4 linked regions of the Drosophila melanogaster genome follow. The protein of the gene in region 1 interacts with the protein of each later gene in a pairwise test. Each region holds a gene or a part of one and is shown on either strand. Other genes may lie near its edges. The genes, in order: CG7879, CG30122, Rbp4 and gsb-n.

Region 1 (7,087 bases):
TTCGCATGGCAGTTTCTCATGACAATCTTTGAGGCTGGCCAAGACAAGCGTGCGTTTTGGTATTGCGTAAGACGACCAGTTTGCAGCCAGCCAGCTAGGAGGAGCTACTCTCTCCCTAGCTTTTCGCCAGAATAAAGGTCTAATTGAGATGTCTCACTTACAGTAGCAGCTGGTGACTTTCGCACATGATCTTACCAAGGACATGAGGCATTGTGTAGAAAAAAGAAAACTATCTCTACTTAAGCTGTGTGGTTAACAGGCAGCCACCCACTGGAGCTACCACAGATCCACATGCTCCACGATCATTAGCCAGATTCAATTTCCTCATTAGTCGCACTCAATTATGTGCCGACGAGACGGCTCCGCAGCGTCCACTGGAGGATGAGGGATCAATAGTTCGGGGCTGGCGGGAGGATCGGCGGCAACTGCTTTCCCAAAACAGTAGTGGCTGGAGAAAACTCGTTGATCGTTTTGGACGTAATGGGAAAGCTATTATGCAGCTTTAATTCAATCGGCCTGCTAGTTGTGTGCTCTGAGCTAATGCGATTGGCTCGTTGTCGGATTGTTTGTATCTCGGTGTCAAAGACTTTAGATATCCAGAGCCGGGGAGCTACAGGAAACCCAAACCGAAGCTCCACTCCTTCCGCCTGGCTATATAAAAAGCATTGTTGCCATCTCGGCCGGCAGTAGGAAATTCGAATTGACCGCGTTACCGTCACCGTCACCGTCTCCTTGCCCGCCGCAGTCGGCCGTCATTGATCCTCGTCACAATTATCATCGCATCGCATTGCTCATTTCATCGTTAAACGATCGGATCATTTGATTGATCGATCGCATGTGCGAAGGATTAAAGCGATGAGAAGATCGAAAGTGAGTGATCGATGTGCATGGGATTATTACCCTTAAAAGTGTGCCATGAATAGGAGTAGTGATTTGGTGGCAGTGATTTTGAGCATATCCTTGGACTACATGCTAATCGATCGATTTTACATAACAACATGTTTGATTCACAAAAGCAACTTACTGTTCGACTTCTGATCGGGTCTTCACTTGAACCAAACAATCTTCACCTCTTACTTATCCATGACCGATAGACTTAACTTGCAGTGCCATCCAGTTGAAATAAGAGATTCAATCTTTATTACTGCTGATTTATTCCAAACTCTGTTCATAACACATTTAAAAGAATAACATGCAGACCACCACTGCAATACACAATTTAAAACTTGATTATTTCCTTGGATTGACTTGCATAACATTTACGAATCGCTTGATGAACTTACCAACATCATTCGATTAAAGGTCTAAATAGGCGGGACTTAAATTAGTATTAGATTAAAGCCCCAATCACAACAATCCCTTATTAAATTGAATAAGATGATCACAAAAACTAGGGCCTTACTAACCCAAATTGGATTCGAAAACGAAAGAGTGCAAATGAAGAGAGTTATAACTAGAAAACCAAATTTCCCAGATTGCCCGCTTTCACACAATGGCCGCGTTGGGCCTACTGCTGCTGGTGGGCGTGCATGGAGCCACGATAATCAGCATCAAGTACCCGGATAAGCCCGCCGTGGAGCCGCAGCCGGCCAAGAGGGATCTCAGCCTGAGCTACGCAGCCACCAACATCGACTCCAAGGAGGGTACCCGCGTGAAGACCATCACGGTGATCAAGAATGTGGGAGGCATTTCGGCGCCCGAAGAAGCTGCGGCCTTGGGATCCTCCATCGCCAGCAGCCACAACCACAAGCAGCAGCCGAAACTGATCATTGATCCCAGTCTGCACAAGAGCGAGGAGTGGGCAAGTGCTTTCCGAGACAACTTTGACTCCTACGGAGCACTGCCCGATGTGCCCGACATAGATGACCTATTCGAGTTTGTCAATCGCAAGAAGCCCGAGGGTGAAAAGAAACCGGAGGAGGTGCCCAGCCAGAAGGAGGAAAGGGTGCCGAAGGAGTTGCAAAAGCCGGCGGAGGAGACCACCACCAAGAAAGCCGGAGCCAGTGAGCAAAGCGAGGGCGGGATCGTACCCAGTGGCAACATCGATAGCGACGAGGCTGTGGTCGAGAAGATAAAGGGTGATGCCGAACTGTTGCCGCACATTAAGCAGGCCAACATCCTGCGCCTCCAGGCGGCCCACGCCCAAGCCCGCTCGGGAGTACGAACCAAGGAGTCGCTGATCGCCGTCAACTACTCCACGCCCATGCATCAGGTGAGCCAGTACTTCGACAACTATGTCCAAGCGGTGCCAAATGGCTACGACTACCCAAAGCCCTGTGGCATGCAGCCTGGCAACAGTATCCAAGTGACCACGCCTTCAGGCCGCACCTACGACATTCCGCAGAGCAACAGCAGTGGCACTGGTGGTGGCAACCACCCGTACTTGGCTCCAGCGCTCACAAAGAAGACGCAGATTCCGCCGATCACGGTGCAGCCTCCGGTGCAACAGCAGCAGCCTCAGCCTCCCAATTACTCCTCCGTGAACTCGATTGTGCCGCCTATAGTGCAACCGCAGCCTCAGGGCAATGCAAATCTTCCACAGCAGCCGCAACAGCCTCCGGTGGTGAATCCTCCAAACGGAGGTATCCTGCCGCCTCTGGGAACGGGCGGTATCTCCACCAGCCAGCGTCCCTATGTGGCGCCCAGGCTGCGAAACAACGGCCTAGGCATCAGCAGGGCGCCCAGCACTCCGGGCCCGATTCAGATTCCCGGGCAACCTGGCCTCGTGGGTAACAACAATCCACAGCAGACCCCGAACTTCCGCACGAGCATTTTTGGCGGTGGCTCAAATCGTCCCAACACGCTGCGATCGCGTGGTCTAAAGTATTGAAAACTTAAACTAAGTGTACACTCTTAAAAACAGTCGAAATTATAGTTCTTAGAGGGAGATTACCATCAAAATTGCCAATCGAAGCCAGCATTGTGGCTGCATTTATCCATATATCATTTATAATTATAGAAATATATTTTAAAAATTGTTTGATAGCCTTAAAGTTATGTACCAATATGAAATAGTGGTATGTTTTCCGATCAAACAGCTATTAAGACTATTTAATGGTAAGCGCTATAAAACCCAATTGATATGTTGCCTTGGCAATGCTAAACAAATCCGTTGTTTTATTTTCTGCATTTTATTAGCATGCTTGTTAATAAGAGATCTTTCAGTTCCTGAGTGATCCTAGCTAAGCAAGACTTTGTATCGGACTACCTATGTTTCGGTTTAAAGCCAATTCAGGTATGTTCGCTAATACAGGTATTTACTACGACCAAGAGCAATATATATATTTCTACCCCCGAATGTGTGACAGGCGGTACACAATTTATTCGCGGAAATGTATTTACATAATGCCTTTCATCTTGAAATCGAATCTGGAACGGGGCTGCTAGTAGAACCGAGACTGTACCCTAAGCATAAAATATGAATTGCACACCGAAACGAAACAGAGCGCAAAGAGGAATCTGCGAGTCGTTAAGCACCAATCAATACTGATCAACATACTTTTGGGTAATGGTTTTAACCGATTTTCACTGTTTCCAGCAGTTTCTTGGTTTTTCTTCTCGCTCCCGTGCAGTGTTGTTGTTGCTGCTTCGAAGTCGTTGATGTTGAAGCATCTCCACGGGAAGAAGCAGAAGCGAAACGAACGAAGAGGAGAAGCGGAGGGGGCGAGGTGTCGCTGTTTTAAGTACGAGTACTGAATTTATTCAATGAACTTTACTCACCATGAAAACCATTCAAAACTCCACTTATTCTGGACCACCAATGCACAAAAACAGTTGGGTTTGTTTTGGCTCAATTGCTATATATTTATTTTGATTATTCCTGCTGATGATCGGCCTGAAAAATTTATATTTTCCTGGCAACACAAAAAGTGAAATGCTGTTTTGTAATTCCTACGCTTGCGAGGGTTTGGTGACAGAAAACAACATGGCTGACACGAAAAGTGTGACCTGTAGTCGTGCAGCAGAAAAAAATCACTCCGAAGACCACGGGCACCCTGTGAGCAAAATATGAAGGGGTTTCTGAAATGCGATTTGGTTAATTGTTAAAAACAATTCTAATTCGTTAGTCACTATATGACGTTTATTTAAAACAATAAAGTAACCAAACAATTACATTTATTAACCTTTTAAATTTTAATATAATCTATGGTATATGTTGATCTTGCAAGATTGTGCTGGAGTATTGAACAATTGAACATTAACGAGTCTTAAATGTGCAAGTGCTACAAAATATTTTTCCCTGTTAATTTAATTGTTACTGCTAACTTAAGTTTGTTACCATATTAGTTGGAATTGCTTATGTTATTTTATCCGAAGTCAAGCGGAGCGCAAGTGATAAGATGCGCCTGTGCGCGTGATGCACAGTGTGAACACTTGTGGTATTTAATTAGCAAACGAAAAGAAAATAACTACGCAGCACTCCCACGCAAATACTGTAAAACATATGTTTCGGTATTTTTTATGTATTGGCACGCAGATTTTAGCGCTTAGTGTAGTTAGGTCACACACCAACACGATTCGTGCGTAGTTTTCATTTATTTTGCTCCGCTTTCCTTCGCTGTTTTCACACCCACGATCCGCGAAAAAAACATCCAGGAATCGTGTTCAAACATTGGCAAACATATTGCGTACCGCCGCGGCCATAAGTCAACCGCTGTAGGCCATTCTTTTAGCCCCAAACAAGAGCGACGACGTCAGTGGGCGACGCGACTGGCGTCAGGTGAAAAAAAGAAAGAAAAACGTATTGAGATTTGAAAATCTATATAAAACGGGTGCAGCGAAATTAAACGGAATTTGCAACTGTGAAAACGCTCTAAAGCGTGGAGAGTTGCATTTGAAAAAAGGTAATTAGCGTACCAATTAAAAAAGGAATTGTTCAGTTTGTGCGTGCAGGTTTTCTGCATGTGTGTGTGTTTGTGTAAAAGTTGTTTTCCCTGAAATGGCAGGTTGTGGATTACCCGATTCGATGACGAAATTATTGAGCTCGTTTTCTGTGTTTTCGTTGTTGTCAATGTACTTTTGCATTGATAAGCAAGGTGTTAGTGTACTTGTGTGTGTTTGTGTGTGCGTGAGTGGAAGAGCAATGAAGATAAGCTCGAGTCTTCTTCTTTCCCCACTCTCCAAAAGGTCGTTTCGCATATGGTTTATTGACGCTGCATATGTTTTTGTTTTTGCCTGAAATTCAATTTACCCACTGAAGCCCCACAGCAAGGCTTCCGACCTCCAACACACCCTGCTCCATAATTACCAACTTACCGCGCCTCCTTTTCCCTCACAATCATCGCAATATGGCTTTTACTCGTCTCTTGCCACCTTTGGAGACTCTTCTTCGCTTGGAGACTTTTGCTTGGCCAATTTCTGTGTATCTCCGCCAGCAGCAACTTGTTGTTGCTTCTTCTTTGTGCAGCTGATTGTGTTTCGCTTAGCCTTCTCTCACTCTTCTTCTGCCTCTTCTTTTGGCCATTTACTTCTGGCTTTCGGTGTCGCCGAGATTCGTAAGCAAATTTCAAGCGTTTAACATTTAACGCTTTGCGTTTTGCTCACAAATTCGAGTTCAACAATGCGAGTATTATTAACTTTTGCACGAGTTCGTGACTCATTCGTTATCATTAACGTGATTTTTATTCCCCTAATGGGAAACTCTTGTCAGCACAACTGGAATACTCACAATATACCATAAGTATTCAAAACATCCAAAGAGTTTTTATATTTGAATACCATTTCTGGAGATAAAATGACTCTATAATCACAAAATATCCCATTTGTTAAAACTAAATCATAAAAAAAGGTGTTTATTACACCTTTTTTTTGTTAAGTTTATTAAGTTTTTAGTGTTTCCCAACCCTTTAGTGGTGAGTCAGTGTTTCGAGCTATCTTGTACTTGATGTTATTAAAAATGATTGGTAAAGGCACTCCTCAAAAAAAGAGTTTTTTTTTTAAATGGTGTTGAATAAATAATATCGGAATTTACCATGGGCGATACCCTTTTTTCCCACTGTTCAGCAAGGAACTTTGACATTTCATTTTACTTCCTGTTCGTCATTTCCGATATTTTCAATTCTATTTCACTTCGATTTGTAGGTTTTGCCTTTTTGGAATATTAGAGTAAGTGGATTCCACGCAAGATTTTAACATTATTCTGTATTTCCCCCCTGTTTCCTCGAATGCTTATCGCATTTCTTGGCCCCCATAATCCTCTTGAACTGCCATATGTTTCCGTTCCACCAGAACTTTCAGTTTATTTGTATCCATTGCACTTTCGGTTATTTTTGTACGCACAATAGCATCGCTGCTCAAAAAGCTCCCCATTCGAGATTATTTAAAAAAAAAAACTTCACTCAAATGGACTCAAGATCTATCAAATATGTAATTCATTCTGCTTGCTTTGCACTCGCCTATTGATTGGTTGGCATTCCCAGGCGGGTGAAATCGATATGGAGCAGTTTGAAGTGACCCTGAGACAAGGTGGAAGGTGGGTGTGGAGGTGGCCATAACTTTCCTTGGCTGCGCCAGAGTCCATTATTAATATTGGATTGCGTGATGATCTAATGCGCGCGCCTCTGTCCCTCTGCTCCCAAAATCCCAACCCAATCCCGTTCACCACCCGCCGCCCGCCGCCAACTCTTTTGTTTGTTTTTGTTTTTGTTCCTGCTGCCGCTCCACATTCCCCACTTTGCTTCTTGCTGACCCAAATCCGTCCAAACATTGTTGCAGTGCTGTCACAAATTTTGGGGCAACATGGAAAAGATTCATAGAACACATATGAACTTATCAAGATAAGAACATTTTCATAATAAACCTTAAAAATCCATATTCCAGGGCAATAAAAACACACAGATATTAATGCACATACATAATGGATGTTTATTTAAAATCATAATTATTCAATGACTATTATTCAACATCTTGCACATGACTGGATTCACAATTTCTGACCAAGCGTGTTGTTTAAACCTTTATATAAGTGCGAATAATTCGAAAGCATATGAAAATACAAAGAAATAATTCACTAATGAATTTAGATTATGAGTTAGGAGCTTGAATAAATCAGGTGTAACTATAATATAGCTAAGAGCGCAGCACAGCA
Region 2 (10,451 bases), on another chromosome or scaffold:
TCCGCTAAGCCGCACTGGTAGTGACTCAAGTAAAAATTTTATCACATTAGTTTATTATTTAAACAGCTTATCTTTAGAAAATATTTATTAGCTACAAATATCCTTTGCTTTATTTTTTTGAATTTCAGTTACTCATAGCACAACTTAAGTTTGAAATCTAAGGCAAACTTACTAATTTTTTTTTGGAAATAAAAATATACATTTAAAAAAAAAAGCAAACGTTAGTTTTTAGTTTAATAAAACTGTTTTAAACACTAAATTAGAAAATACATACTTGCAGACTCCAATATTTCTTAAATTGCATTCGGCCTAATGTAAATTTTAAAATTAGCTGTTTATCGTGTTTTAACGATTTGTCCTTTAAAATGCGAGCGCATTACACACCCTTTCCCAGTAATAAGATCGTTTAAATAGATTTTTTCAATGTATAGATTTATTCGTTAATGTTTCTTCTCTAATGCGTTCATTTCAATTGTTTGCGTTGATTGTAAAAAATAAAACAATAATCGTAATAAACGTTAAAACAAGTTGTACTGCCTAGATACGTAGTGCCAGAGTAAAGACCGCGTTTCATTCAATTGCTTCGTCACTGTCATATAGAAAATGCGTTGTGGAAAATGAAAAGCGAAACATTCACGTTCAATTTCAAATGATATATGTAGTCTTAGTTTTGTACAATCCATCCGAAGGTAAGGTAAGAATTTTGACTTAGGGTTTGGTTAGCCCTCGCAATTGTTTGGTTTCGACTAGCCCAAACTGGCTAAACTAAATTAATTTTGTTTTACTGTTCGTTAATCGTTTAAAACTATTATATAAAGTTTAGTTCAGATTTGTGGTTAACTCCTTTCGGGACAACGCAGAGGGGTCTGGGCCTGGTGGAACACGGCTGCATAGTGTTGCTGCATTCTACTTCTTGTCGGCACCCGCATTGGACTGCGTGGAGTACGAATATTGAGACCAGTAATGATTGGCGGCACCGCCATCATTATTGCCAGCGCCGCCGCCGACATTTACGCCTGATCCGCCACTGGCATTCCCAGCCGCTGCTCCGCCAGAGCCCTGCTGCTGCTGCTGTTAAAGAAACAATATCTTTAGTATTCTCGCTTCCAATGACTTTCATAAGACTCCTCCTGCTTACCTGCCACCAGGACATCCACTGTTGTTGCTGCTGCGGATCGGCACTCTGCCAGGCCTGTTGGTTGCCATAACCTGCTGGGAGAATCAACATAACTCGTATAGTCTTCGCCCTTAAGCAGTCGAACACTGCGTCACTTACTCTGCATTTGGTTATAGGCCCAGTATTGTTGCTGGCCCGCCGCTGCTTGCTGAGGTTGTTGGTATTGTTGTGACTGCTGCTGAGTCTGCCAGATGCCCGTTTGTTGATGCTGCGGCGCCTGCTGTTGCTGATGGTGTTGACTGTACGTACTCCACTTGCCGCTAAGGGAGGCCTACAGGAACGATCGAGATCTTAGCCAGCTGTCATGCGTCGAGGATTTGGTCGCACACTTACCTTGCCTCCGCCAGGTGCTCCACCTTGTTGCTTGTACTGATCGTAGCCACCGCCTACAGCGGTGTTATTGCCATACTTGGGTAGCGATTGACCAGCTGACCGCTCATAGCCACCGCGACTATCTTCTTTGGTGTCGCGGTGGCCAGGCCGAAAATCCCGTTGTTGATGAGTACCACCTCCCGAGCGATAGCTACTCTGGCTGCTGCCCCGGTTCCGGTCGTTACTGCCCATTCGACTGCGGTCGTTGCCACGGTCTCGATCGCGATAGTCCCGCGAGCTGCCGTAGCCGCGGTCGTCATACCCACTTCTGCGGTTGTTCTGCATCCAGTTTTGCTGACCACCACCACCACCACCACCACCGCCGCCGCCGCCACCACCACCGCTGCCGCCTGCGTATCCACGGTTGCGATTGTCGTATCCACGACTGCCGCTTCCACCGCCACCATAGCCGCGATCATCGTACCCGCTTCTGCGGCTGTTCTGCACCCAATTTTGCTGGCCACCGCTACCGCTGTTGTAGTTGCGGCGATTGTCGTAGCCACGACTGCCGCCTCCACCACTATTGCTGGAGTAACCGCCACCGCCGCCTCCCCTGCGGGAGTCGCTCCAACGACTTTCGTGCCGCTGGCCGCCATAATCACGACGTCGGTCATCATTGTATCGATTCCGGTTCCGGTCATCACGACGATAGTTGTCGCGACTTCCTCGGGATCTCTTGTCACGCGACCTCTCCGCGTCAATGGCCTTTTTGCCCTTCTCGTTGTACTTCTTGACCTCGCTCTTGGCCTCGTCACCAGTCAGCTCCGTGTAGTTTATATCATCGAACCAGCCAAACTCCAGCGAGGGAAGTGTGAAGTTGGCTGGAAAAAGATTGCGTGTACATCATCAATAAGGCTGCACAATTGCTAAAATCGCTCATTATCATTACAGATTAGGAATTATTGTAGATGGAGTATAGAGGGAAAGAAGGGATCAACTTTGGCAACCGAACGTAAAAGGGCGCAAAAATTTCGATTTTCAAGAAATCCAGTTGTGAATAAAGTCCATCCTTTATACGTTCCAGTTGCCAAGTGGGGGTTGTTATAGAATAAATGTTAATGAATAATGGTAATAATAATAATCAAATTATGAGATATTTTGAAGGGCTTACAGTTACAATTACGTATAGATACATAAAGTGCAGCTGCTTACAAACTAAATACGTTACATAAGTTTTTATAATGTTTTTCATTTTAACAAGAATGCCTCCTTATTTAGATAGGTAGAATAATAAGTTATACGATCGTACATTATTCTGGATTTTTTTTTTCAATTCGTTGCTTTGGTGTGGTGGATAATATTTACCTCGTAAATTATTAATTGTTGATTCTTTAACTGTAAAAGCATTTCCCTTTTCCTCTTTTTCGGCGATGCGACGTTTCAATTCATCTTCGCTGGGTATGCAAACGACCGCAATTCGCTTGAAGTCGTTAAAACCCTTCATTTTACGTCGCTGGGCCGAGGCATACACATTGGTCTACAAGAATACAGTTGGTTGATCGGTTGGTTGGTTGGTGTTGTTTGGTTGAATTGGGTTCAGATTTTGTCTGCCAGTTGTTGTTTGGTTGGATTTGGTTTGGTTGTTGTTGGGACAGTCGTCGAACTTGAGAAACACGTTGATGATACGGCTCGGTTGGAGACCTCGGTCTACCGGGATCGAACCCAACTCGCATTGAGCTCGCTTGCTTTCAGCGCTTATAATCTAACACATACCTGTTGCACGGCGGGACACCCACTTCCCGCCCACACTCCGCCGGCAAGGGAGCGGGGCCTTACGGAAGCGGTGCGCGCACACCAACATAATACCTAGGGGGCGGCGACGGGTTAATGTTAACCCGGCCACATCTAACAACAGTTGACTTAATACTTTGCATAAGGATAACAGAATGTACTATGGGGGAAAAGTAGTCGCGGTTGGCTGTGCTGCTGGCTGTAGGATGAAGCATCGCATAGCTTTCTGTAGATACACATACATATATATGAGAATAGTTGGCATTTAGAGAGAGAGATAGAGTAGAGATAGTAGGTACTAATACGTATATGTGATTAGATTGTAGGCGAACGACTCGTCGATCGGATTTGTGTTTGTCTACTTACAGTGGCATCCATGCCGCTCGCTCCTCCTCCTCCTCCTTCTTCCATACTTTACTTCACTCCATTCCATTACACTCACTCATCTTTCTCCAATGCCATTTCCATATCCATATCCACTTCCATCCCCACTTTTCTTACAATTCCCTCTTAACTGCCCCGTCAACTGTTGCGCCTGCACGTAAAACTTAAGCTAATGGGAAGTCCACAGATACTTACTGCCTCAAACTTAAGCACTCTAATTATCGGATCGACTTACAATTAGGACATACCTGCACGTTGGTGCCCCTTCTAGGGGCACTTGGGCACTCTATTAAGTTAGAGCGATGAGCAAAAAAAAAATGCATACTCAAATGTACAATTAAAAAATATATAGCGCAACATTGCTGTGCCCCGCTGGTGGAACCCCTCAATCCCGAGGGGATCAGAGCCCCAGTGTGTTGGGTGGGCGCCAAAGTCATCATCAACGTATAATTCTCGCTTGTTTCGTTTTGTGTTTGGTTATCGTTCGTTCATAGTGTAATCTTGTGTGTTTGTGGGCTGGTGTTTTGTTTCGGGTGTATGTAGGTCATTTGTTAATGGTTTACCTGATCAAGTATGAAATTTCGACGCCGCTTCATGGCAATATCTTCCAGAGCCGCCAAGCTATTTAAGCATATCTCGTACACCTTGTCCCATCGACCTTTGTGCACAGTCTTGCGAGAGGCGCCATCGATCTGCAAATATATTGGTCAGTACTGAATATCTTCAGCGCCTAGCTATGTACATTTATTAACCAACTTACTGTCATCTTTGAAATGAATGCGTCGGGTCCAATCAACTCGTAACGCTTGTCAGCATTCTCGGCCACATGCTTATGGGCCCAATGGGTCTTTCCGGCTCCTGGCAAGCCAACCAGTAAAATGACTTCGCACTCCTTGCGAGATCCGACGCGTTGTGGACCGGAAACCAGCTTTTCGACAGGTACTAAGCCGATCAATACATAGCCTTCCAGCAGGGCAGCTGTATCCCTTGGCTCGGGCACGACATCCTCGTACTCATCTTCGGTCGTCTGCGACCTGTCCTTTTCCTTTTCGGATTCAGCCTTTTCCGAATCTCCATCGGTTTTGGGTCGCTTGTTCGGCGAGGGGCCATCCTCATCTTCTTCATCATTGTTTTCGGAGGGTTTCTTATCCTCAGATGCCTTTTCATCGTTTGCCTGTTCTGCAGCAGCATCACCATTTGACACAGCTGCAGTTTCTGACGACTTTTCGGTAGAAGTTTCAGCTAAAAGGAAAACCCAAAATATTAGCATTTTGTGGGATAACTGATTTTCAATCAATCATTACTCACCAGTTTCCGAAGCCTCGGTAGCTTCTGATTCGGGCTTAGCAGCTTCAGCAGGAGCCTCGACTTTAGTTTCGGCTTCTGTTTCCGTTTTTGGCGCCGCCTCATCCTCTTTGGCTTTTTCAGGATCTTCGGCTTCCTCTTCATCTTTCTCCGAAGAAGCCTTGCCATCTTCATCCTTTTTCTCCACCTCATCATCATCCGCCGTGGCTTCGTCCAAGACCTTCCACTTCTCGCCATCGTTGTCATCCTTATCGTCGTCCTTATCCTTGTCTTCGTCTTTACGTGGCTTGCGGCGCTTGCGCGTGGGCCTCTCGGCATTCACCAACAGCTGCTCGGTGTCAGAGAAATTCACTAAGTATTCGTAGCCCTTGGTAACGATGTGCGGAAACAGGGCTCCCTCCTCGCCCAGTATGCTCTTCTCAAACTCGAACGCAACTCCAAGATCCTCGCCGTTCAGAGTGTAGTTAATTGTGCACGGCTCACTTTCCAGATCTAAATAGCAGCCGATAACGTCATCCAGCTGGTAAGGCTTGCCGTAATCGGTAAACTCGCTCTGAGTAGCCTTACGCCCGGTCTCGCAATAGCCAAATGAATGCTCGGCCTCGCCTAGCAACAAGGAGCTCTTGGGCATTGAAAATCCCACGCGGAATCCTCGCACATGCGGCTCATCGCGGAAGTAGTGCGAGTTCTCCGGCACCGACTCCTCGGAAAGGCGCACCTCAAAGCACACTTTGCCTTCGCGCACTCCGTAGTTTGCGCGGGCTCCGGACCAAATAAGCGAGTAAATTTCCGATGTCAGGGGTTTGGCCGATGCAAACGTGGTTGGGTCGATGCGTAAATGCAAGTCAGAGTCCACTGGAATATAAAAACAAAGGGATATTAGTTACTGTGAATGATGGATCAAGCTTTGAACGTTAAGGAATGTGTGTATCGAATTCGTTGCAAACAGCAAGTCTACTTACGCCAGCTCAATCCGACTTTGTTCTCCTCGATGGTTGGCTCGTCCTCAGGAACTGTGCGTTCCTCGGCCGCTGCCTTTGACTCACGCTTGTCACCTACGCTGCCGCGATGTTTGGACGAGCGGGAGCCACTGCGCGATCGGGATTTGGACCGACTGTGTGATCGCTTGCGGCGTTCCGGGGGCTGATCCTCAGGCTTAGCTGCTGGCTCGGTCTCCTCCGCCGTTTTCGGGGCGGCCGAATCCTCCTCATCAACGTCCATTTTCTGGCTGTCGCCATTTGACTGATGCTCGGCCACAGTGCTCTCGGCTGGTTTCTCCTCTACAGGCTCCTCAGTTTGTGTAGGTTCCTGCTCCTCAGGGGCAGCATCATGATCCTCTTCCATGGGTTCATCAGCCACTTCATTCTGTGGTACGACGGCGGGTACTGCCTCTTCGATTGTCTCCTGCTTGTCGTCTGTCTCCGACTTTTCATCAAACTCTTCGGGCTCAGGCTGCGACTCCTCATTGACCGCTTGGTTGACGGTTGTGTCCTCTGTCACTGCTGCAGCTGGCTCAGCTTCCTCCGGCTCACTTTGTTCTGGTTCCGGCTCGGCTGCTGGCTGTTCACTTTCTGGTTCTGGCTGTGGCACTGTCTTATCCTCCGGCTGCTCCTCCTCTTCGAGAGTATCGAGCACTGGTTCTGCGGCCACGGGAGCAGCTTGCACCGGCGATGGAGAGCGGGACATAGAGCGCGTGCGACGCTGACGGCGGCTTGGTGTGACCGGCGCATTTTCTGGACGCGGGAAAAGTGAAATGTGATTACTTTATCATTATATAAGGAAAACTTACAACTAACTCACGCTCAGTCGCACACAAACAGAAACCGAAACACAAGCATGACTTGGACGCGGCAAAGCACACGCACACAGTGACACCCACACACATACACACTGGAACAATCGGGCGGTCAAATGACGCATACACACAAACTTACCACCGTCGCCGGCTCCTCCTTCCACATATGCCCTCAGGCGCTCGACGAGCACCGCTTTGACTCCTTTGGTGTCCAGGCCGCGCGACTGGAGCTCGTTGCGCAGGTCCACCACCTTCATCTTCTCCAGCTTCGCCACATCCATTCTTGCGCTTCAATTTGGATTGGCGGCAGAAACACACACGCTTATTCACTCAATGTGCACCGCTGAAAAGCTGGCGATGTGAAAAACTGAATTGGGGGAATTTCGGGCCAAATCACGCTGTCTGGCAAATGACACCCACACTGGAAATGTCACCGTAGTCAAGTCGCAATGGTTGCTAGCACCGTGCGCGCACAATTAAAACGCAATATTCGTTTTTACATTCGCATTTGTTGCGAATAAATAAATGGACCTAAATATTATACCGAACGCGTTGAAGTGAAGTTGGCTGCGATTGGGAAAACGAAAACGTAGAGCTACCGTGCTTGGGTTCGATACTTGTGCTTGGTGGCTATCGATAACAGGCTGAACATCACTAGCGATAGAAGGCGCTTGTGTGCATCAACCGTTTGCATGTGCGCTGCAAGAAAATATTTAATGATTGAATGATTTGTAGTAAATACTATATCAATAAAAATTAATAGGCAAAGTCAATGTTTATTTCAAAACATAATTAATAGTATTAAAACCTGCATAACAAAGTGTTTTTCGTAAATTGACTTTAGGTATAATGGCTGTTTGGCACAGGCATTAACAACGACTCCGTGGCGCAACGGTAGCGCGTCCGACTCCAGATCGGAAGGTTGCGTGTTCAAATCACGTCGGGGTCAAGCAATTGATGTTTTTTTTTCATTATTTTTAGTTTGCAAACTATATAAAATAAATACGAATTTAAGATTTCAAAAAAAAAAAACAGTATACAAAATTTGCATCGGCCGGGAATCGAACCCGGGCCGCCCGCGTGGCAGGCGAGCATTCTACCACTGAACCACCGATGCTTAAATACTAGATGTCTTACCTTCAATATAAGCTTGGATTGCAAATCCATTGGGTCATTTCTATAAATTGCTAAAATAGTTTAAGGTTGATTAATAAAATGTAATGCTGAAATAAAACTAACTTAATACGCAGCGTTGCTAATATACTTATTACGAAAAACTGCATGTTTTTTATATTATACCATTTTCCTAACTTGTTATAACATCCTAACTTCCTAACTTTTGTAACATCGATTGTGGCCATGCCCCTTCAGCAGAACAAGTGCTCATTAACACTCACTTATAATTAAATTTGAAATATATTTTATCGACATGCCATACTCATGTCGCTATAAAATCTATAAGTTAAAGATGCACAATCCAAAATTTCGCAATTGGAGCGTTTAAATTCAGGAATATGTCTTTTTGGTGGATGATACAAAGCCTTTTGATCCTGTGGACAGTGTCAGTGGTAAGAATAAATAAAATAATCAATAAAGAAATTTGTGGCAATAATATATTTATTTTTAATTTTTAGGGATCAAAAAAAAGCAACTATGAAGTCCGCTTTGAGTCGATAGATGCCGTAAAAGGAAGTACCGAAACCCTTTTTCTATACCAGCTACGATTGCTCGGTAGAAACCGCATGATAAATGGAACTCTTATTTTCTTAGAAGACTTGGACGAAACGTTCGACGTCCTTTTCGAATCCCACGCATTTAAAAATGGATATTGGGTCAAGGGAATCGTGAACGCCGCCGCCAGCAAACCCTGCGAATTTTTCAATCGCTACTACATTTCCTTTTTCCTAGTAAAATCGACCGAATCGAATTTACCCACTACCGGTGCTGAAATGTGTCCTTTTCGAAAGGGTACATATTTTGTGAAAAACGGCGTTGTTTCTACCGAAGATTGGCCACCCATTGTCTTTAAAGGTCTTAACAGATTCACCATTTCGTATCTAAAAAATGGCGAATGTGTTGGTGGAGTTCAGTTAACAATTAGTATAGCAGAAATCATCACATAGTCTTAAAAATTTATAATACCACGAAAAAATATATGGCATAAATGAAAACTCAATTATTTCTCTGTGTGTGTGTGTATGTATAGCCAAGCCATTTTTATATATTTTTCTTCTTACATTTTTGATTACAGTTTATAGTTACAGCTAAAATGATTGCATTCGAAATTGTTTCGTTTCGTTTACACGGAATATGCGCATATATATTTAGCTAAGAATCTCTTTTAAATAGTAATAGGTTCTTTAATGGGGTTCACATAAATATTTACATGCACATTTGCACATAGAATTGTAATAATTATTTATCGTTATATATCGCTTTTACGTTCCCAGTTCAGATCCATTTCTAAGGCTCGTCCCAAGCAACCGTCTCCAGCGTCGGAACTCAATCTTGTATCTAATTGAAGAGAGATTATGTATGTCGCATTCATCAATTGCTATTGCTAATCGGCCGATAATTACAGCAGATACAAATTAATCAGGAAATCAATGACAATTACAGCCGAATACAATCAACTTAACGATCAAAACTTAAACAAAAGGCAAGCAGAAGCATTTGCGGTGGACAGCGACAATTAACACATGCACCAGTCAATTAACACATCTGCGACATTTTCGAACTGCGTAACAACTAAACACTAAAATAAGCTTTAATATCTAACCAGCACCCAGAAGCCCGTGGCGTCATCCCGCCGGAAGTAGCGCGGCCGATTGTCCCTGAAAACGGTGACGGCGGGGAACTGATTCTCCTGTATAAACCTAATGGTGGCACGCGTCTGCAATTAAAAAAAAACTTATGTGTCTGCACAGAAACATATAGTATATAGTATATGCATACCTGAGGCGCAAAGTGAGGCGGCTCCACGTCTGGACTGGAGGACAGGTGCTGCAACAGAAACTCATCCGTTTGTGATAGCCACAGATCAGCGCCGCGCAAAGGATCGTAGTTAAAGGGTCCAATGCGTAGCATGCCCAGCGAGGAGTCGTATATATCCAGAACCTATGAAGCACAGCCAAGTGATTAGCAGGTTAACTCATTGGGAAATTTTGGCCTTTACTTACCGACTGCGCGCCCATGAAGATGCGAGCATCGCGTAGCTCCCGGTCGGGTCCTCGGTCTGGAAAGGAGGCCGGAAAGATCTCACCAGTCTTGATGTTCACGCCCACTCCATAGATGATGGGGCAGTTGATCTCGCCGCGCATCATGGTATTTAGCTCGCCCACGCAAGCCTGCGTCAGATCGATTTCAAGTAGGTGATTGTGGAATGATTCTGAGAAAAATGATAAATGAAATTCATATAAGAACTAAAACACGCAGCTTAGAAATGAACTCACGCATAATGCTGAAGAATACGTCCTCGCCGTATCCCTTGGCATCGCGATAGCCACCAATCAACTGCAACTCGATGCGACCCTCCGGATAGCCGACGGCCAGCTCCTGAACCCGCGACACCATGGTGCACACAGCCTCGTCCACGCCGCTGCCATCGAAGTGCGCCAGGGCCACAGCACCAGATCCTGTCGTGAATTGTTGGTAAACATTATTAGTACGGGTTAATGAGCCAAACGA
Region 3 (6,498 bases), on another chromosome or scaffold:
GCCAGGAGATCGATTCCCCGAATGCGGGAGCCACGGTAAAGAAGCTCTTTGTGGGCGGGCTTCGAGACGATCACGATGAAGAGTGCCTGCGCGAGTACTTCAAGGACTTTGGCCAGATCGTGAGCGTGAACATTGTTTCCGACAAGGACACCGGCAAGAAGCGCGGCTTCGCCTTCATTGAGTTCGATGACTACGATCCCGTTGACAAAATCATCCTTCAGAAGACCCACTCCATCAAGAACAAGACCCTGGACGTGAAGAAGGCTATTGCCAAGCAGGATATGGATCGACAGGGCGGAGGTGGCGGACGCGGAGGTCCTCGAGCTGGCGGTCGCGGTGGTCAGGGTGACCGCGGCCAGGGAGGCGGTGGCTGGGGAGGCCAGAACAGACAGAACGGTGGGGGCAACTGGGGCGGAGCTGGCGGCGGCGGAGGATTCGGCAACAGCGGCGGTAACTTTGGAGGCGGTCAGGGCGGCGGCTCTGGCGGTTGGAATCAGCAAGGCGGAAGCGGAGGTGGTCCATGGAATAACCAGGGTGGCGGCAACGGCGGCTGGAACGGTGGTGGTGGCGGCGGCTACGGCGGCGGAAACAGCAATGGCAGCTGGGGCGGTAACGGTGGTGGAGGTGGTGGTGGCGGTGGCTTCGGAAATGAATACCAGCAGAGCTACGGCGGCGGTCCACAGCGCAACAGCAACTTTGGCAACAACCGTCCAGCTCCTTACAGTCAAGGAGGTGGTGGTGGAGGATTCAACAAGGGTATGTTGGGTTATTAAGTGATTTGACCATAATGTACATAATGTACTTAAACCATGCATTTATTTTTTACAGGTAACCAGGGTGGAGGTCAAGGCTTTGCTGGCAACAACTACAACACCGGAGGTGGTGGCCAGGGTGGAAATATGGGAGGCGGCAATAGACGTTACTAGACAAGGTAAATATAGATAACCTGGACGACAGGTCCTATCCCATCGTACAATCTCAAACGCTCGGATCTTTGGTCGTTATTGGCAGCTAGTTGGTAGCCTAGCCATGCAATCAAACTCATTTCGGAACGATTCGAAGCTAATGCAAAATTTTCTCCTCTTTCGCAACTAGGTAAACACACATAGAGAGAGAGAGTGTGTCAGTTCAAGCTAGACGACAAACAGGCAGTCTAGGCAGGCAGATGCAGAGGGACAAGCACATTCACAGGCAGGCAATCAGTAGCATGTGTGTGTCAGACCAGGCAGACAAGATCAGAACCAAGAAATCAAGATGCAGAACCAAGAACCAGGCCGTGCGCAAATGCAAACGATAAATCAATCAATCAGGTTTGGGTCCGGCCGCAACCTGCAGGCTATAGCCATAATCCACTTGTCAAAAGCACCAAGCAAATGATTATGCGTCAAGCAAAACAGCCAAAAGCGAAACGAAACGAAATCCAATCGACGCCACTTGTCCACAGTTTGAATGCTGCTATCTCTCTTTTGTAACCATTAATAATTCGCTGATCGATTTATGTTTAGGGTCCTAAGAACCCCGAACGCTTAGTTTTAACCATAAACAAACAAAAGAAACAAACACAACAAAATATAAATTAAACAATAATTTTATTGTACAAAATTGACTACCAACTGAGCGGCGACGGATTCTCCTTGAGATTCAGTCGTTGTAAGGGTGTTATAAGGTAGAGCACTTTCTTTATATTTATTCATGATTTTATTGTTTTTAGCGATCCAGCGAAATGTAAGAAATCAAATAGTACCATATTTTGTAATCACTTTTTTTGTACAACTAAGAACCTTTATGATTTGTGGCAAGTAAGATCCCAACTCCTGAAATGCGAATGCCACGCACATTTGTGTACAGGCTGCACAGTGGCCGAGAAATGGTGTCCTAGCGAGCAAAATCCATATATGCATACCAACTCTGTTAGTCCCTAAGAAGTAGATGCTACGTTAAGCCAGACTAAAAAGAAAAACGCTAAACAAATATCACAAACATTCTGTAATTAGTTCGTTACGAGTGAAACGAAAGCGACAAAGAGATACAAGCAAAATAAAATCCTAACCAATGTTACCTACCCACCCAAAATGAAACGAAACGAAATAATCACAGGAGCAATGCCCTAGCAAAGAGGAGCAGCAACTGCAGCAAAATCCGGGTTTTCCGATCCATCCCAGATCGGCAGGGTAGCGGGCAGGGCTAATTACCGTCACTAGAGACCCCCACCACCTAACCCCCGGGCAAACCGCCGCATACTAATGCACTGACTATTTCTTTGCAAGACTGGCCGGGCTACGGACGGAAGCTCCCTCCCGGGTCCGTATACGAAATCTGGGCTGCTCCACGCACCGGTTCGTTTCCACCAGGTATTAGTTAATGGTTTTAGACCGCAAAGCAAGCGGTGGCCCAGGAAGAACTCACTGGTGGACTTTGGTTGGTGGCTCCCTTCTGGCTAACTTGGTGGGTACAGCGGAGGTAAGTGAAGGTAACTAGTCGGTATTCTACTAACACCTCATTTGTTTCTGAATTTTTCAATAAAGTACAACTTTTACTAGCAAGAACAAGAGCTGTATTTTATTTTCTGGGGGCGATATTTTATAGGGTTACGTATAAGGGTTTAGGCCCTATCGATTTATTGGCCTATTTGTATCCAATAATGCTGAATCATCTAAAAGTGACAAGAACTTTCACTACCAAGAACAATTTGTTCTATGAATACCATAAATGTTCAGTGGATTATAGCCGGTTTTCGAAGGACCTAGCTTTCTGGATTGTATTACGAACTAAATTCTTATGAGATCAATGGGGTTTTTCTTCTAATAATGCATAAGTAGGGTTTTTTGCTAGGACTACGAAGCAAAAGAGGCGATATTATAGGGATTTATAGGGTTACGCTTTAAGGATTCAAACCCTATCGATTTATTGGCCCATTTGCATCCAATAATGCTGAATCATCTAAATGTGGCAACAATATTTTTGGACCTTTTTCGATAGTCCATAACTATAGACGTTTGGATTTTCTTGCCTGTCATTCAATTTGTGGTTGGCTTCACCTGAGTGCTGTAGTAAATCAGGCTATTTTAATTTTGACATCTCTTCGAAAATGGATGCGGGAAATTGTGCCTCGTCGGCCTGCCTTGGAGATGTAAGCTCATAATCCCCCAAACTATTCATAATTATCAACGAAAGTCGTTGTGTGTGTGCAGTGCAAAGGCGACGGAAAGACGGCCATTAAGGAAGAAGGCTACGAGCATTTGCGCAAGATCTTCATTGGCGGCCTATCCACTCAGACGACCGTGGAAACGCTGCGCGGATTCTTTAGTCAGTTCGGTATCGTGGCCGATGCGGTGGTCTTGCGGGATCCGGTGAGCAACCATTCTAGGGGCTTTGGCTTCGTCACCTATGTGGATCCCAAGTCCGTGGAAATTGTCCAAAGGGCACGTCCCCACACCATTGATAATAAGTGAGTAGTTCTCTAATAATCTTTCGCTGCCCTAATTCTATAAAAAGTTGATTAATTAATTTAGAATTGTGGAGACCAAGCACGCACTGCCACGTCAAGATTTCAAAAGGGGTGGCGGCGTTGGTTCCGTTGTCGGAAGTTTTGGCTGTGAAGCCGGTTTCATGAACTCGAAAAGGATCTTTCTGGGCGGCTTGAAGGAATACCACGATGAGAATATCGTACGCGAATACTTTTCGCAGTTTGGCCCTGTGGCCAGCGTGAAATTGCTCATGGACAGGGAGACCGGACGTCAGCGGGCATTTGGCTTCCTCGAGTTCGTGGATCCATCCAGTGCCGAGAAGGCATTGGGTAAGTTTCCATGTTTCTCATTTATTGAAAGTCATCGTGCATTTTTTTCAACTACCTTTAAGTATGATATAGATTAAAATCTGATGATAACGCTGCTTGCTTTGATTTTCAGCACCGCGCAAGCACTGGATTCTTCAGACATTGGTGGAGGTGAAGAGATCCACCCAGAAGGCCGACAGGCGTTTTCGGTTCCCCATATTTAGCTCGGTTCGAGCCGGCTACATTCCGCCCCAGCCGGCCACTGCTGATAGCTACAATTACAACAATCCCAACTACAATCCCTATCTGGCCCAATCCGTCCTGCCGCCATCGGCATTCACTAACGGCTGGGCCCACTATGTAATTCCGATGGCACCCAAGCCAACACCCGGACAGAACATGGCTGCTTCGTTGCCGTCACAGCAGCTGGCAGAGCACTCGCTCAACGGACACGGTCCGGACATGTGGTCCTCCTATCCGAAGACCGGTATCTACTCGGCCCAGGAGTGGACTTCCAGCAAAGTGGCCGAATGGGGACCGAAGGCCGGGCACAAACATGCCCAGACATCGACCAACGATCGTGCCAAAATCGATTTGAAAGAACTCCAGGCAGCTACTTTCAATAACAAGCTGGATTTCGGCGCCCGTGGCGACGCGGATCGCATGTCGGGAGCTGGCTTGGGATTGGGTTTGACTGGCGGTGCCGCCGTGGGAGTTGGAGCTATTAAGAAGTGGCCCACCCAGGACTATAAGGTCTTCAAGCCAGCTAAATCTCCGACCAACGGAGTGATTCCGAAGATCGGCAAAGAGGCTACAACACCACCCTACGGTTCATTTTTTTCCTTAAAATTTAATTTAAATTTAAATTTAATTTAAGAAAGAGAAAAGAATCTAAAGTATCTTTTTATTCTTGCAGGTATCTAAGTGGCGGACGATGGAACGCAGTTAAACCCAATTTACTGCCACAGTTTAATGCTATTACTACAATAATTTGCAGGCGATTCCGTTCAAGATATTTAATAAATAATAAAGCATACGGGTCCTTTTGAGACTTAAAATCGTAAACTCTTGTTCTTTATTTATACTATTTCTGTTGGTTTTTTTTTTATGTTTGTTTCCATTTAAAGTATTGCATGTATTGCATGAGTGAATTGATTTTTCGCAAATGTTTTATATCTGAAACGCTATAAAACGCACCAATGAATTGTGACTGGAATTTTGTGGGCTGGCTTCTTCGACTGGCTTGTTATTAATTAAAATTATGCAAATTGCTATCGATTGCTCGGCTTTGTGCGCATCAATTTCATTTAAATGCTGAATGCTCAGTAGTTCTTCAGTTGTTTCAACACAAAGGCAAATGGGAATTGGATTCAGTCGCTGGATAAGTAAAGTCGCCTTGATAAGTAAAATTACATATCCTTGTGAGTTTTTCCTTTCAGATTTCTAAATCTACGACTTGGTGTTTCTTTTAAACGCATTTACCAGAAAAGGAAATACGAACCGATCCAAAACAAATGTGTGTGTGTGTTTTTTTTTTTTTTTTTGAAATGAAACAAAATCATAAGTTTTCTGGTAAACACGCTGAATCTTTGTGATTGGTTTTTATTATTATAGTTATTTTGTAGTTGTACACATATAAATTAAATTATAATTAAGTGTTTCCCTCCTTTTCTCTGTACTCTTTACAAACTGCAGTATTGTGATTTCATCGGTTTACTTAGAAATGAGCATGAACTCTAATTGTTTGTTTTTCGTTTACTCTTACATCGATTTAGTTAGTACCTCTGATTTGTATTGTATTGTTTGATGCTGTTTTCATGTTTCTTATTTTTTTTTTTGTTTGTTTATTATTTCTATGATGTTGTTGCTGGCCACGGAGCACTTTCAGCACTGATCGTTGAGCTAAGGTTTGAACACTAACACTTTCGTTTTACAAAAAATGCACTAAAATTGCTTTAGACCCTGTTCACAGTGCTAGAAATGCGTGGTGTTATATAGAAATAGTTGTGGAAATTGCGATTGTAATTGATTTAGCAATTGATTCTCTAGGGCAGGCGTCGAACAACAAAAACAAATGATATGTTCCCAACGAATTAAAAGTCCTTAAGCTTTAACAAAACAAGAATAACTTGGGCAATTATATATATTTGGACGCCTGCGACAAAACTCAAATGATGCTCACACGAATTTAATGTTTTCAGTTTCCTAATCGCTTTTCTGCCTTATTTTTATTTTGCAGCAGCAGTTATATAAATATATATATATATATATTTATGTATATTTAGATTTCTGGTAAGTCTAAAAGTTAACATTAAATTATATGAGTTTTTGTTTTGTTTATATATATTTTGTATATATTTGTTGTTACATGTTTTGCTTGTTTTACCTTGAGAAAAATGTTAGTAGCTTGTGTCTCGTCCCCCAACTATTTATTATAATAGGTTCTTGTGTGTTTATATGCTTCACATCTTCTCTACTCATTTCGTTTCATTCTTTTTTTGGGCTTTTCTTGATTTTATTTAAAAAATATGTACTAAATTTTAGTTCACAACTGCGTTGGAAACACCAAATCGTTTAAGTTGCTTGACTTAGTTTGGTTTACGACCTTGAACTTATTACACAGAACGAATAAAAGAAAAGCGAAAACACTGACCGTCCGTCCGTCCGTTTATTCCTGACCATCGATTGCATCGAACACGCACCCACCTGCGGCGCCGGCACCG
Region 4 (7,221 bases), on another chromosome or scaffold:
TAATATGATCTATGCAAGCCAAATGAAGCTTTCGGCTTTAACTGCCAAGAAAAAGAGGCTTTAGTTTCCCCAAATTAAAATTCGGAGTTGAGCATACAAGTATTGGCGCTTTTAAGGCAGTTATATCCAAGCAACTATTTTGGAAGTTAACAGACCAAACGGCCCAACAACTATTTGTTTCCCATAGTTGTGAACTAAAAACTGACAGTTGGATTTACCATTAACTCTAGGTTCGCTCCCATCGCTGCACACGAAGCTCGACTGTGCAAGGTACCGTCGTCTCGGCAGCCAGACTCATAAGGTGAAGTACAGTGACCCAGCGGCGGAGGACTCGGCTCGCCTCAAATGGAGTGGCATGTGCCGCAAACATTTTCATGATTAATAATATTATTTTTCCACTAACGAAATTATCGCAGAGTGGAGGCATATCTCCGTGTCTCTAAGCTGCGGTTAATTCCCCGGCTAACAAAGGTGGCATAACTGGCACCTCATAGACAAGACGAGACAAGATATGACGCCAGGCTCGGAAACAGAAACTGACATTTTGTCCAGTCTTGAGTGTATGCTGGGAGTGCGGCCACCGTCCGGCTGGCTAACTGGTCTTGGACTTCTGGCTACTGGCTCATATTTCTATTGAATGTGTCATGAAAACAACAACAGAAAAATGTTTTGATTTTCAACTGGGTTGCGTTACTCGCGTTGGGTCTCCGGCTGGGGCCTACCAGTTGTTTGGCTGGAATGTGTGACGGCTTATCTCGGCGCAACTGACAACTGGATCCCAATCCCAATCCCAATCCCGATCTCGATCTCGGTCGAGCCCCCGACTGTGAGACACATTTTTTGCATCCGCCCGTGTTGTGGCTTACAATTTCAATTGAAATTTAATTAATTAGATGACAGTTGGATTGACACTTGACTGCGCTTTATACATGACCGATTCGTGTTGCGTTTTTGACTATATTATGTTTGGGCTCTTTCTAGTTTTTTAGTTTGACTGACTGATGCGCTCTGTTTTTTTAATAATTAAATTTCTTGGAATCTGGAACTTTGTCAGCGGGACATTTGATTATATTTGGTGACTGAAATTTTCATCAAGGAACGAGCCCCTGTGGAATTAAAAAGGAAGCCGAAGTTAAGAGCGCCTGTACATAACCAAGTCCAAAGTACAACATTTAAAATCTGAAATCCCGATCGTCGATAAGCCGCCACTAAGCGAGTCATATCAGGTAGGCATAGGGAGGGGTAATCGCGGTCAGGTATGAAATCAAGACACAAGAGATGCCTAAAGCATATTCTAATTAAGCGTGAAGCTCACCTGGAGGCAGTTTTTACGCCTACTGCCACGCAAAAGCGAGCGCACACAATATAAGGCCTATAACACCGAAAACAATCAAAATCCCGATCTAACGGTTTTTGTTATTGTGAGGTCATACAAAAACAGCAATGTGATTGCATATTTTTGTCATTCATAAAATTTTAAATGCAGTTTTTAATTTTTTATATTAATAAAGCACTAGTCCAGCACTCTTCCCATAAAAAAATAAGAAGATAGTAAGCTAAAAACTTAGTTTATTAAAAAACTACTTTTGCGAATTAAACCATCCTAAATTTCTTTCTGTGCATATTACACAGTGCGCATCTTTTGGATTTGGAATGAAGTGATGCCGACTCTGATCTATAGTCCGATCGTATCGATCGCCCGAATCCTAACGCCCCATAAAGTGTGGCTAATTGCGGTTTCAAATAAAGAGCGGGACGATGCCGCCAAAAGAGGCTGGCGCATGAATACACTAGTGCTTGTATTAATCCTAAACCCTACACTCCCTCCACCGTCGAGAAGTTTTGCCGAAAGGGAAAATCAACTTCAAGACGGCCGTCATCCATCCATGCAGGCGTGAATCGGTGGAGCTGGTCCGGCTAGTGGGCAGTATGCCGAAATCTTTTGCCAGACTTTTGGTCTCTGTGAATGAGTCATATTGGCGTAGGTTCAGTAATGAGCTGAAACACAATTTCCCCGTTGGACTTCGCTTTTGCCACATAAGGTGTGGGGAAGTGTGCTCATCTTTTAAGCTTAACGCAAATCTGAAGCAAAATAATATCGCAGTATTGGCAAAGGTGGCTAGGTTTGTAAGACGGCACATTAAAACAGAGAATAGATGACAAGGAATATGTCGTTAATTATAAATTTTGTTAATCTAATAAACGAAACGAACTTATATGCGAGCCATTTTAATGTTTTGATGTAGGACCGATTCTTTCACGCCTCAAAACCGGAAGCGAAGTCCCGACGGCGAAGAATCATATAAATATATTCTCGTATAGCACCTTTTCGCCTCAAGGACAAAACACAAACGATGCCGACAAGGAACACGACAGAAGCGGTGTCTTTATGGTTTAATTGATTTCTTAACGGTTTGGGTGGCAAGCGAAAATTTGTCGTCGCTGTTGTTCAACAATATTGTCAATGAGCGGGCAAGTTCAAACTGGGTCCTTGGTCAGTTTGGGCCATCTGTGCAGCTAGTCAGCCGACATATGCAAAAGGCCAGTAGGTGTCATAGGCAACGTGCCATAACAAAGCCAGCGGGCGGTACGAAACTGCCACGTGACTTTTCGGAAAACGGAAGTAAACTGATTCGCATTCGGTGCGTATTTTGACCCTCTTCTATCTGGACATATTGGCATGCGGTTAAGGCTACCGGCAGGTCCTGCAAATCCTCGCATCGTTTGTTTTGGTACATTTTATTGCTTCCTGCAACCTTGCAGGTGCATCTCGGTACTCACCTTTATCAGCTTTTCGCGTATTTCCCAGCTGAATATGCTGGGGTTTTCCTTTCGCAGCTCATCGATCCGCGTTTCAATTTCGGGAGAGGTCACCTTGGGCTTAGATCCACCTATTACGCCCGGTCTAATAGAACCCGTCTCCTGGTATCGGTTCAGAATCTTCGATACGCAGCCGTGAGACACGCGGAGCTGGCGCGATATTACACAAGGCCGCACTCCACTGGCCGCCATTTCCACGATCTTCAGTCGAATGTGATTGGGCAACGGACGTCCATTGATAAAGACGCCCCCAAGCTGATTTACCCGGCCTTGTCCTGTGGGCAAGTTAGATCAATTGGCATAAGCACTGATAAGTCAAATCATTTATTATTATTCATTAGTCAGTAGGAATCGTTCACTTCCTTCTGAACTTAACCTAATGTGTAGCTTAAAAGACATTATGGATTCTGTTCCTTAATTATAGTGTATACATATGTACCGTACTATCTTACGTGTAAGGAGTTCATGGGAATGTATTCTCTTCAGGCGTCGGAGGGAAATAGGGTTCAAATGTAAACAAGTCTAGGTCTCGCATGATTTCAAGGGGTAAGTTTTTTGAAATACACAGTATAAATGATATGATATATGTTGAAATTACTTACCTTGAAAGGGATACCCTGCGAAAAGGGGCCGCAACGAGTTCGCGCTGGACATATCCATGGTCCGAATGCAAAGAGCTTATAGCAATCGAGAATCTAAGCGACGCTGCACTCAAAAAACTTTCTTTATTTTCGGTAGGTTAGTGCATCCGAGTCGATACCATTGCACAATTATATTTGAAATGAGCTATGATCAGTAGGCTGTCGTTCCTTGTGGGAAATCACTTAAAGCTGGCCCAAAGGACCCACTTCATCACTACGACGGGCGGCTCCCGATTCCGACGGTACTTTGCAACTCTCAGTCCGGTGGTGAGAAGCGGGATTTTTCTTGGAATCACGCGCGCTTCAGCGATCAAACTGCACGAGACGTGCAAAGCAACTAAAGAGAAGCGCGAGCATAAATTAACGAGGGCCGGCCGGTCCGGGCGATGACTACGACTACTCCGCAGACGGGCAAACAATGAGATCGCTCCACAAACTGGTTTTCGCGCCGAACAACCACCGCCAGATGGAGACGCAGATGGAGATGCTGGCAGGAGGGAGAGTGAGAGCAGCTTTCGCGCCCGCCCTTTCGGTGGTTGCTGCCTACTGGAGCGCCACGACCAGGCACAATATGGCACCGATCAAAGCCTCACAGCCGAGCAGAGAAAGAGAGAGCCGGTAGTGAGCTGACCGCGCTTTAATCGAGGAATTGCCACGCCTCGAAAGACGTGATTGGCTGAGCTGGTTCAGGGCGGATCTGGGCTCAGCTCGCCCGACTTTTGATACTGCATCGCATCCATAATCCATCCGCACATCAACCCCCCTGACGACACTCGCTTGATCACTCTGTGAATGCAGCTGTCCCCGAGCATTGTGGGAATTGTATGACTTTTATTTCATCGCTGGCAGCCAATTAAACCGTGAAGGCTGCAGGGAGCACAGGACACATGCCGAGGACCACGACCAAGCCCAATCGCAAACTCAAGTCCAGCACCACATCCCAGTACCAATCGTTCCGGTTTTGTTACTTTCAGCACCCACAGTTCCATGTCGTGTGCTTCCAATATATGTTTATCCCATTTTGCAGTCTGCACCCTCCTTTAGCTTCTGGCTAGTTAGGTTAGTTCTTTGACAGAAATGTTTATGGGGTCTCAGTTTCCTTTAGCTTTCTGCCTTATCCTCTCATTTTTTTCAGGGCTTTCATAACATTCTGCATTTGATTAATTGAATGGAATGGAATGTAATTTAATGATGACCCTTTGCGGATTAGCTTTAATATCATTCATTGGTTATCATGCATTCATGATTGAAGGATAACAAAGCTTAGATACTGTGTACAAGCAAAAGCCTGACTAGTAAACACATCCAGCACATTGTTCTCCGAGCAACGAAAGTCAATTACCAATATACAAACACAAAAATCAATCAACAGCTATTAACAGCAAAGAAATTCACACCTGGTACAGTTTGAACGGTCTGCAGTTTTGAGAAATTGAAAAACCAACGAACAAAAGCGAAAACAGCGAAAGGACGTCATCATAATGTAGAGAATTAAGCGTGAAGTTTACGCATATTAAGGATACGCACATGCCGCCTGCATCTGGCATCAGGGCGAGACAGGGACAGGGAAGGGACGCAGCCTAAAAATGGCCGCTCGTCGTCCTGTGTTTGGTTCGTATTGGAGTATGTTTGTAAAAGCCGGCCGCATGCAAATTTCTGATATACAATAATATTACTAGTGCTGCGTTCCGAAACCGAATTGAGCAGAATGAGCTGGCAGGCTGAAGAAATATGCAAGGACTCTCCAAAGAAGGATTTATCTGCTAAGCCGACCTGGAGTCCCTGCGATAATGAGCATAAAAATCGATGTTAATGAAGCGTTGTGCAAGGAGCCCGTATGGACAGCCACTTGAGTGCACCGGTACGCCTCATCAACATCGGCAATAGAACTTGCCATGCAAATGAGCCAAACAGGACGTCCTAGGACAAGGCATATTTTAATTGTGTCTCCGCCTGTTTTCTAAGCGAAACCACAAGAACAGGCTCATGATAAACATAACAAATTATCTAATATGCGTATTGACAGTTTTCAATTATCGGAGTTCCTCATGCGTGGCAACGACAGAATTTAAACTTTTGATACGAGCCAAACGCTGCCATTTGGGTTCTTCAATGTATAGAGTTTCGTTTTTCGTACGTCACTTTCCAAAGTCAAGAACTGGAAAATCAAATTCAATATGTCGACTAATTTATATAAGGATGCCCTTATAAAATCACTTTTTTTATACAATATAAAAGTGCTAAAGAATGAATACTGCTCACCGTCTTTGGGACTCTTTTAAGTTAATATTTCGTCAACAAAACCTTCAATTAACGTTTTATAAACGACTTTTAAACAAATTACTATAGTTGTAAATCTGTATCTGTATACGTGAAAACGTCTCCTCATTGCCACGCTATTGATGGGCTTTTATGAATGCCGTAAACTGAAGCCAAATTCTATGTATCGTTTTCCCTGAATCAGAGCACATGTTGGCCACACTTCACAACCGTGATTTACAGAAGGCTGTAAATTTTGTCGCCAGCAGGGCATGCATAGAACTTGTCCTGCATTATAAGAGGCTGTTAAAGGCTAGTGTGAGTACAGTCAAATTCATTCAAACTCACGAGGCTGTAAACCACTTTGAAATATCGTAAGAAAGCAGGCGGACGCTTACGAATTTTTCACATTATTATGCTCTCTTATGAATAGGTGGCGACTTCCCAGAATGGTCCAGTAGCATCTGGCGATTGCTGGGGCCAAGCAATACCAAATGCCAATCGGGTAACTAAATTTTCCAGCCTACTGTTCGCCACTTGCTGTGCTACCGTGCTCTACGGCACCCCGTTGATGTGACACCTTCGTCGTCCTTGAACCGCCGCTGTGTCTTCCCAATCCTAGGCAGGGACCGGTGGGACCAACGACGACGTTTGTTTGCCTTGCAAATTTAGCATACAGGAGTTAAATTTGTTTATGCGTGCGTGTTTGTACCTAATTTTCACTTGTCCTGGCCCAGATGGATAAGCGATCCGTCATATGCGATTGTTCAATATTTGTGGGATCGCCAGTCTGTTTGTTGTGCCTTCCGTTTGGCCACTGGGTACTGACGTTTTTTAACATTGTCTCAAATTTCAGAGTTCCTCTGCATCTGTTGACAGTTTTCTAACGGAGTTTTGATGGATCAGTTAGCGGAACCTCATTGTACGGCGGGACTCAAGTGGTTAAATTTAAACACTAAAGTTCCAGGAACGATTGGTAAAGATTGCGAGAAGTGCTTAAGAGACACTTTCGTCGAGATGGATAGGAAACCGTTTTATTTGCATGTAAAAAAAATCGTTTAAATGTCTTGTGGTCGCAGAAAGCCGCATTAAGCCAACTTTAAGCAGTGCAAGAAAGACATCCCCAGACGACTTTGATGGATCCGACGGTCAGGGAAGGTTTAGCGTGTTTCGCTTAAATGAAGTACCAAAAAGTCAATTTATTTGCAATTAAATTGTGAAACCGAACTGCATGGAACCCAGCCTTGGCATTTGCATTGTCCAGCAACAGTTGAAAGCCAAAACAGATACTCCACTCGCTCGCACTCTAGCTGCGTCCCTTTTTCAGTTGCAAGTGCGTGGCAGCGGCATGAGCTTTGATCTTGCCCCGTTCACACGCATGGCCTTTCCACTCCATCCCCATGCCGCGCCCCACTCATCGCCGCCGCCCATAAGCATCACACTTGAGCACTAGGGCGCTCCGACGTGGGCCAACTCGGGACTGCGACTGGGCTATATGTCA

The links.
Region 2: the proteins of CG7879 (region 1) and CG30122 interact in a two-hybrid assay, tested with the Drosophila melanogaster proteins (one large-scale study listed by BioGRID).
Region 3: the proteins of CG7879 (region 1) and Rbp4 interact in a two-hybrid assay, tested with the Drosophila melanogaster proteins (one large-scale study listed by BioGRID).
Region 4: the proteins of CG7879 (region 1) and gsb-n interact in a two-hybrid assay, tested with the Drosophila melanogaster proteins (one large-scale study listed by BioGRID).

The regions. Positions count from the first base shown.
Region 1 is NT_037436.4:1,564,698-1,571,784, forward strand, and holds the start of CG7879 (uncharacterized protein), read right to left. Parts: upstream 3,912-7,087; 5' UTR 3,721-3,911; intron 3,613-3,720; exon of another isoform or gene 3,500-3,612; intron 3,106-3,499; exon of another isoform or gene 2,831-3,105; coding exon of another isoform or gene 1,475-2,830; intron 871-1,474; coding exon of another isoform or gene 856-870; exon of another isoform or gene 695-855; intron 1-694. Other genes in the region: CG12003 (uncharacterized protein), read left to right, coding at 856-870, 1,475-2,830.
Region 2 is NT_033778.4:18,631,916-18,642,366, forward strand, and holds CG30122 (uncharacterized protein), read right to left. Parts: upstream 7,356-10,451; 5' UTR 7,046-7,355; coding exon 6,904-7,045; intron 6,703-6,903; coding exon 5,932-6,702; intron 5,825-5,931; coding exon 4,973-5,824; intron 4,907-4,972; coding exon 4,425-4,906; intron 4,357-4,424; coding exon 4,228-4,356; intron 3,027-4,227; coding exon 2,855-3,026; intron 2,371-2,854; coding exon 1,511-2,370; intron 1,449-1,510; coding exon 1,277-1,448; intron 1,213-1,276; coding exon 1,139-1,212; intron 1,072-1,138; coding exon 907-1,071; 3' UTR 413-906; downstream 1-412. Other genes in the region: CheA56a (chemosensory protein A 56a), read left to right, coding at 8,279-8,332, 8,399-8,887; Ntan1 (N-terminal amidohydrolase 1), read right to left, coding at 9,532-9,657, 9,720-9,881, 9,944-10,152, 10,217-10,399.
Region 3 is NT_033777.3:13,652,895-13,659,392, reverse strand, and holds Rbp4 (RNA-binding protein 4), read left to right. Parts: upstream 1-2,998; 5' UTR 2,999-3,088; coding exon 3,089-3,130; intron 3,131-3,191; coding exon 3,192-3,448; intron 3,449-3,512; coding exon 3,513-3,796; intron 3,797-3,908; coding exon 3,909-4,604; intron 4,605-4,691; coding exon 4,692-4,699; 3' UTR 4,700-4,837; downstream 4,838-6,498. Other genes in the region: Hrb87F (heterogeneous nuclear ribonucleoprotein at 87F), read left to right, coding at 1-756, 829-926.
Region 4 is NT_033778.4:25,048,529-25,055,749, forward strand, and holds the start of gsb-n (gooseberry-neuro), read right to left. Parts: upstream 3,804-7,221; 5' UTR 3,481-3,803; coding exon 3,423-3,480; intron 3,096-3,422; coding exon 2,782-3,095; intron 1-2,781.